Linked DNA regions of Neurospora crassa OR74A. The protein of the gene in region 2 interacts with the protein of the main gene of each other region in a pairwise test. Links are inferred from orthologs where the notes say so. Each region holds a gene or a part of one and is shown on either strand. Other genes may lie near its edges.

The links.
Region 1: the proteins of NCU02264 (region 2) and NCU06941 interact in binary tests that used the Saccharomyces cerevisiae proteins (3 or more experiments, as listed by UniProt). The link is inferred for Neurospora crassa OR74A from reciprocal best matches to the Saccharomyces cerevisiae genes PAC10 and YKE2.

What each region holds. Positions count from the first base shown.
Region 1 is NC_026507.1:844,053-847,594, forward strand, and holds NCU06941 (prefoldin subunit 6), read right to left. Parts: upstream 1,986-3,542; 5' UTR 1,787-1,985; coding exon 1,723-1,786; intron 1,669-1,722; coding exon 1,598-1,668; intron 1,504-1,597; coding exon 1,379-1,503; intron 1,321-1,378; coding exon 1,200-1,320; 3' UTR 895-1,199; downstream 1-894. Other genes in the region: NCU06940 (hypothetical protein), read left to right, coding at 80-116, 218-894; NCU06942 (vacuolar protein sorting-associated protein VPS4), read left to right, coding at 2,653-3,305, 3,383-3,542. UniProt on the Saccharomyces cerevisiae protein: Binds specifically to cytosolic chaperonin (c-CPN) and transfers target proteins to it. Binds to nascent polypeptide chain and promotes folding in an environment in which there are many competing pathways for nonnative proteins.
Region 2 is NC_026507.1:3,135,799-3,139,887, forward strand, and holds NCU02264 (prefoldin subunit 3), read left to right. Parts: upstream 1-1,534; 5' UTR 1,535-1,561; coding exon 1,562-1,752; intron 1,753-2,019; coding exon 2,020-2,254; coding exon of another isoform or gene 2,255-2,386; exon of another isoform or gene 2,387-2,433; intron 2,434-2,516; coding exon 2,517-2,741; intron 2,742-2,823; coding exon 2,824-2,940; 3' UTR 2,941-3,524; downstream 3,525-4,089. Other genes in the region: period clock protein FRQ, read left to right, coding at 1-364. UniProt on the Saccharomyces cerevisiae protein: Binds specifically to cytosolic chaperonin (c-CPN) and transfers target proteins to it. Binds to nascent polypeptide chain and promotes folding in an environment in which there are many competing pathways for nonnative proteins.

The DNA.
Region 1 (3,542 bases), about 2.3 Mb from region 2:
CATCCATTCCAACCTACACTGTTACTGTTACCATTCTCACATCTCAGTGATACCCTCAATTTTCTTCCTCTTCATCACAATGGCGTCAACAGTCTCCTCCATAAGCCCAATGCAAGGCAAGTCCACCACAACTCCTCCACCCAGCCCTTTCCTCCTCCTCTCACAGCCCTCACGTCCGTCACGCCCAAACTAACACCCCATCTTCCTACATAAACAGCCAGCATCGAAGCAGCAGCCGACAACCTATTATTCGAACAGGGCCGTCTCCTTGTCCCCCCTGAGACCTGCCTCTCCACCCTACTCAAACAGATCCTCGTCCAATTCACCAACACCTACGCCCTCCCGGATGGCAGTCATGCCCTCCTCTCCCAGCCCTCCAGCCTCGACCGTATCCTCAACTCCATCTTCGACACCTCCTGCCTCGCCTTCGTGACCGAAAAGGAATTCCGCATCGAGGCTGGGCTAGACGACCACGACAAGGTGACGCTGTTCGTCCAAGCTGTTGCGGGGATGGCCATGGTTTTTGAGCGGCTCTTGCGTGCTTGTTCTTCTTCTTCTGCAGCTTTCGCAAACTCTGGGTCAGGAGACTTGACGACCAGTCTCCTCTCCAGGGAGCTCCAGCTCTTTGCCGAGAGCGAACAGCGCAGAACGATGCTGGATCGTATCGGCGCGACGTCCTTGCTGAGCCATTGTTATACCAAAGACGAGCTGGTCAGCTTTGTGGTGGCAATGGTGGAGGATCCGGATCGGGCGTCCCAGCAGGGCGGGAGTAGTCTGCTCTCGCTGAATGCGGCGGGCGAGGATTTGTCGAGTGATAGTGTGGCATGGGTTAGTGGCCGAAGTTGCAAGAATATGGGGCTGCCGTGGGGGTTCACAATTATGGCGCTGAACTGAGGTTATACTAGACAGGATGAGAAGCTGCGGTCTGTCGGTGGGTGGATGAGTAAGGGTCAGGGAGAAGGGGGGTGTAAGTTGTGTTTTGGTTATCCCCATTCAGCGATTTTAGAGCAAGGCGTCAAGGGGTATCTTGGGGGAATCTTCAATGAATACATCACGTAATAATTACCGTTTGGTAAAGAAATCGACCTATGACTGCATTCACGAGACAGTTTCCCCGGAGCGCTGTGTGATGAATCGTACCTGCGCCTGATCTCGATTGGGTATAGTGGACATTCTTTCCGTAACTGATTTCATTAGGTCTAAGCCTTGACGGCCTGAGGGGCACCACCAGCCTGGGCGCTCGTCTGGACCTGAATGATCTCTGTCCTCTTCTTCTCAATCTTGCCCTGTGTCTCCTTGATGACTCCCTCCAAGCGAGTGCTGTGACAGTGGGTCAGTTGCGTTGTAACTCAAGATCCCATGCAGCAGTTCAACTTACATCTCCTTGCTGATGAACTCCAGTCTACCCTTGACTGTGTTCTCTGCATCCATCTTGTCCTGCTTGAGCAGCACCGGGCCCACTAGCTTGAAGATCTGCTCGTCATCCTTGAGCTTCTCGAACTCCTACATGGTGCTCAGTTAGTCCCCATTTTTTCCTTGGGCAGAATTTGGCGAAAGGCATTGGGCATGCGAGCGCGATGCTTGGAGAAAAGCTGACATTTTGCACGCTGACGTTTTCCTGCTTCTGAGCCTCGAGCTTCTGTCTGGCGAGAACAGTCTCTTGGAGTTCTGAGGTACAGTTAGTGAATGAACTACGGGGATATCATCATAAGGGGGGCTCACCTTTGTTCAGGTTTTGATACTCATCAGAGAGAGCTTGGAGCTTTAGTTGGAGGGGGCTGGCCATGGCTGCTTCTTTGAGGGTGATGTGAAGTGAGAGACAGGGTTATGCTGAAAAGTTACTAGGCGATGACGTTCGAAAACTGAAAAAGGGTTTGGACACAGTGAGGGAGGGAAGATGATGGATCAAAATGCAGGAACAAGAAACACAGATGAGCTCCAGTATGGGGAATTTGGAGGTTTCTATTCCGGGGAACTGAGCTCGCTGTGCAGTCAATCGTCAGGGGTGAGCTGAGCAGATCCCAAAGTCAGTGCCCAAGCTTTAGCTGTTAGTGCAGGAGTGTATCCTCAAGCAAAGTACTAACAGCCCCAGACCAGCGCTCTCTCCACGCGCAAACAAGTGGCGTCAGTGGCCCCCAGGCCGGGAACCATAACAGGACCCCGCGCTACGCTAGCGCTTCCAGGTCAACGGCCAAGACAAGTCGACCTCGTTGCTTGAAACTAACCAAGATATGGACAAGACCACCAACGATCTTCCCCTCTCCAATTCCACCTCAGACCAGGGCGCGACACCAACTTTTTTGTGCCAGAAGACAGTCTTGCCGTAGTCGTTGCCAGGTGACGCCCGCAAGATACGACCAATTCCCGATTTCTCTTCACCTTATCTCTGCCACTCTCGTTGCCGTAGCCTAGGACAACAGCAGTCGTCATCAACGGGTCTCCTCCCTCGCATATGGCCATCTGTTGACATTGACTTCGAACCTCGGCGCGCGAATATCAACAAACTCTCCTTGTCCGAGCGAAGAAGCAAACAAGTATAACGACTACAAACGCTTACTACGGCGTACCAAGAAGAGCGACCAATCCTACACTCGACTAAACCACGAATTCACGCGACATCACTTTACACGCTTCGAGCCGCCGCCGCACAAAATGTCCAATACCGACTTCCTCGGCCGCGCCATCGAGCAAGTGCGCAAAGCCATCGAAGCCGACAACGCCGCCCAGTACGACAAAGCCTACCAGCTGTACTACCAATCGCTCGAACTCTTCATGCTCGCCCTAAAATGGGAGAAGAACCCGAAATCCAAGGAGATGATCCGGGCCAAGACGGGCGAGTACATGGACCGGGCCGAGAAGCTCAAAGCGCACCTGGCGGACGCGGAAGCGAAGCGGAAGAAGCCCGGGATGGTGGGCGCGAACGGGGGTTCGACGGGCGGGACGGGGAAGGGGAAGGAGGCCGGGGAGGACGGTAATGGCAATGGAGAAGCGTTGGATGAGGATAGCAAGAAGCTGAGAAGTGCGTTGGCGGGCGCGATTCTGCAGGAACGGCCGAACATCAGCTGGGATGATGTGGCTGGTCTAGAGGGTGCCAAGGAGGCCCTCAAGGAGGCGGTCTTGTTGCCAATCAAGTTCCCGCATCTGTTCCAGGGGAAGAGGCAGCCGTGGAAGGGTATTTTGCTGTATGGCCCACCGGGAACAGGAAAGAGTTATTTGGCCAAGGCAGTGGCGACAGAGGCGAAGAGCACGTTCTTCAGCGTGAGCAGCTCGGATTTGGTGAGCAAGTGGATGGGTGAGAGTGAACGGTATGTTTTGTCCTGTTGTCTCTGTCCTTATGCCACTATCGTGACTGAGAAGCTAACGATTTTCCAACAAAAAACAGTCTAGTAAAGCAACTCTTCGCCATGGCCCGAGAAAACAAGCCCTCCATTATCTTCATCGACGAGATCGACGCCCTCTGCGGTCCGCGCGGTGAAGGCGAGTCGGAAGCCTCGCGCAGGATAAAAACCGAACTTTTGGTCCAAATGGACGGTGTCGGCAAA
Region 2 (4,089 bases):
TGATCTAGCTTCTGACGATGAAGAAGTGGAGGAGGTGGAGGAAGATTCTTACTCTGAGGGGCAGATCTCGCGCCGAGCAAATCCTCATTTCTCGGACAACAACACGTACATGCGGAAGGACGATTTGGCGTTCGATACCGAGACTGATGTGCGGATGGACAGCGACGACAATCGCTTGTCGGACAGCGGCCACAACATGCGGGCGATGATGCCGCGGGCAGAAGCGGTGGATGGGGACGACAGCCCATTGGCAGCCGTCACCGGAAAAGAGGTGGACATGCTGCACACTGGCAGCTCGGTTGCAACCGCTGGTGGGGCAGAGAGTGGCTATAGTAGTTCGATGGAGGACGTCTCATCCTCGTGAGACCTGAGTGGGTATTTTTCCTATGTGAGAAGAAGACGCGGGGAGCATACGAGAGCAAAAGGAACGCATTGCGGCTGGTGTCAGGAAATCAGGTACCGGTGTTCTCGAATTTTTGGCTTTGGCGGGCAAGCGGGTTGTTTCGAGCGCGCGGGTTCTTGGCTTTTGCCATTTTCAGGGGAGTTGCAATTGTCGCTTTTCGGGGACTCGATACGCATGATGGATATCCAACGAAGGTGATTGCCGGGTGAGGGATCTGGATCCCATGAATGGGGCGGCCATGGGTGGTGGGTGGTGGGTGGAGGGAGGGGGTGTTGAGTTGGGGACTTTTTGGGGCGTCTGGGTTAGTGTTGTTTGGATTTCAAACGGTGTGGCTTTTGGGTTTTTTTCTCTGGCTATTTTTTTATGGGGGGTTTTATCTTTCTTCTTCATCTTTTTATTTCTGATATTTTTTTCTTGGCTTCCTTGTAGATGACTCCGTGTGCAGAAAAAAACATACCTGTTTTTTTAAATTCGTATCAACGATTCGCAGTAGTAGCAGAAGGCCGGTGACATCAGTCGCAACGGGTGCACCCGTAAAATAAGGATTGGACTTGGTGGTAGGTCTGATGGGGCATGTAGTGTATATAGGATTTCAAAGTGAATCGATCACTAGTCCCGGTTCGTTGTCTCCACGATGGCCTCGCTGCCGGAACGTTTTGATGATCGAGCGGTAATCGTGGATCCCTAGGTCGGGCGTAAGACCCTCAGCGCATTATCAGCAAGCCCCTGATTAATCCAACGCTGGGCGGGCTACACAGACAGTATCAGGGTCGTCATCACAGTCCAACGGTCGGTTGTTTGTTAGCATGGGTCTTCTGATGAAGCCATCGCCAGCAGTACCATAGCACACAAAAAGACATGTACAAATATCTCAATCCAGGAAAAGACACGTCAAAAAACGAGGGCTTCACATGATCGTTTTGATTCCAAGCCTTCCCGATCCAGTGAAGCACATATGCTTGGATTCACCCGCCCAGAAACTCCCTTGACTCAAGGTCTCTCACTACCTAACAAAACTTTCCAGAGGTGAATTGTACTGTACGCGGGCAGGGGCCTGCCCCACCTTAATGAAATCGATTCGACCGGACTCCTGGCTGCAGGCGGGGGAGCGAGCTCAGCGAGGTGCGGGCGGGCAAGTCAGCCCTTGGGGTTCCATCCATGACCATATCGCACCTACCTCTACCTACGGCCCTACCTACCTACGTAAACAACGAGCTCGGCGCCAACCGAGGCACGCAAGTGGAAGCTCCCCGCCTTGATCGGTCTTTTCCTTTCCCCCTTACAACCCGACATGTAAGGTCCATACTCAGAATGGCAACCAAAGGAAAAGAAGTAGAAACTGCGGGTCGGTAAGTCAGTCCCAGTTGAACTACCTACTTACCTTACCTTACCTTACCCTACCTTGGCCAAGCATCAGAGCTTATGTTGGTGGTGACAGGACAAAGCAACGTCTTGCCCCTCTTGAACGACGAGTCTCATGTCATCACCCCTAACTTCAACAGTCGGACATGGCTCGAAGTATTCCTCATTGCTAGCATAGCCTAGCCTAGCCTAGCCTACCTATAGAAACACAAAACAAGCTGACCTGCTGCTCCCGCGTTCCGCCAAACCTACAGTGATGCCACGCCCGCGAACCCCCGAGGTATCCCCCAGGCGCCCTTCGTCGACAAGGTCGAGGACTATGTCACGTCTCGCGCGGATGTCGAACCCACCCTGAGGCGGTTCCAAGAGTTGATTGCCAAGTACCAATTCATGGAGCAGAACCTCCAGCGACGGGTGGTGGGCTTGAAGGATAAGATGCCGGATATCCAGAAGACGCTGGACACGGTGCGGTTCCTGCAGATGAGAAAGGTACGACACACACACACGCACACACGCACACACACCTCCGTCTTCAGGGCACGCGAACATACGGGCTATACAGCTAGCTATACAGCGGGCACAATACCAAATGCGCCCGGGGCGGGGGGAAAGGGTAATTGAGAACCAAAGGTCAAGGACGAGCATGAACAACAAGGACGTGGATTGATGTATGGATGGATGGACGAAGATACGGTCGCACACGAACAAGACACGCTGACAAGATCACCTTTTTACTTTGTCTGTTTTACAGGACGAATCAGACCCGATCGAAACCACATTCGAGCTCAACGAGACTCTCTACGCCCAGGCCAAGATCCCACCCACGGACGAGGTGTACATCTGGCTCGGCGCCAACGTCATGCTGTCGTATCCCATTGAGGAGGCCGAGCAGCTGCTTGACTCGAAGCTCAAGGCGGCGACGCAGAGCTTGCAGAACTGCGAGGAGGATCTGGATTTCTTGAGAGAACAGATTACGGTACGTGTTGGGCGGAGAACGCGAAGATGGTAGTTCTGTTACCGATCTTGGAACCTTGACTGACCTGAACGATGCGCCATAGACGATGGAAGTTGCGGTTGCCAGAGTGTACAACTGGGACGTCGTGCAGAAGAGGAAAGAGAAGGAGGAGGAGGAGAAGACAAAAGGAAAGAAGAGCGAGACGGCGTCGGACGGTTGAAGAGGAGATTAGGTCTAATACAGAAAGCGAGGAGATAATGCACCATCACGAAATGCCATGGGAGCGAACGACGGTTGAAGAATGTCTAATAGAGGGAGGCCGGCCGAGGTTGCTGCTGGCCGCGATCATGTGAGACGAGGTTCACGATGGCTTGGTAAGTTGGACTTGATTTGAAAGCAACATGATAGCGAACGATACCTCACAGATATTCTGCGTCGTATTACGCTCAGTAGCCATTTGTTCACGAGACAAAGGAACAAGGGCCACGCAAGCGGTTTGTCGTTTTGGAGAGACTGAAGTGGGACTGGCGAGATGAGGTTCGCTCTGGCCTAGGTCAAGGCTACGACCTCGAGAGATTAAAGAGAATTTGAGTTTGGCGGCCTCCAACGCCCATAGCCTCATGATCAAGGCACGATGATGACTTTTTATATTTCCCGCCCGGGTTCTTGGTTGTGATGGAAGTTACTGTCTATCACTTGGCTACAAGAGAGATCGACGCTATGGCTCATTGTTTAGATTGTCACGATACCTACCGCAAACATACACCGAGATAGCCTTACAACGTTACCAAAAGCCAATCCGAGGAGATCACGTGGCTGAGGGGGCGAGTTTGTCTGGTTGAGTTGTAGTGTAGTCGCGGATCGATCGTCGCCATCGTTTATCAAGTGGTGTACATACCCAAGTCTTATCCAGTCGAGACAGTCAGATGGGCGGGGGGCCAATGCGCATGTAGGCAGGGCGCTCGGGCGGCCGTTGACCTGTCTGTTTCGCTGTCAGTGTTTTGTCAAAAGTGAGCCACCCCCGCCCCCCTGGAAACTGAAACCCCTATTTCGGGAGTGAGGAAGCACATCTGTGGTCTTGACCGCCATGACGACGGCATTCGTTTCGGAGACGGGGTCCCGAGTCTTTTGACTCTGTCTCTGTTTGGTACGGCGGCAGGCGAACGGCAGACCAGGCCCGACCTGAATACTGGATGAGGTGCCCTGCGCCAACAGCAGAAAGCAGCTTAGCGGATGGGGCCCCAACGTCGGGTCCCAAGCGGGCAGGCGGCCCCCAGGGGCAGGCGGAATCTCAGGGGCCCCGGCCCTCTGCAACGGAACCCCAATTAAACGATCTCCATCACGGGCGGGCTCCGGCCTCCTTCCCCTT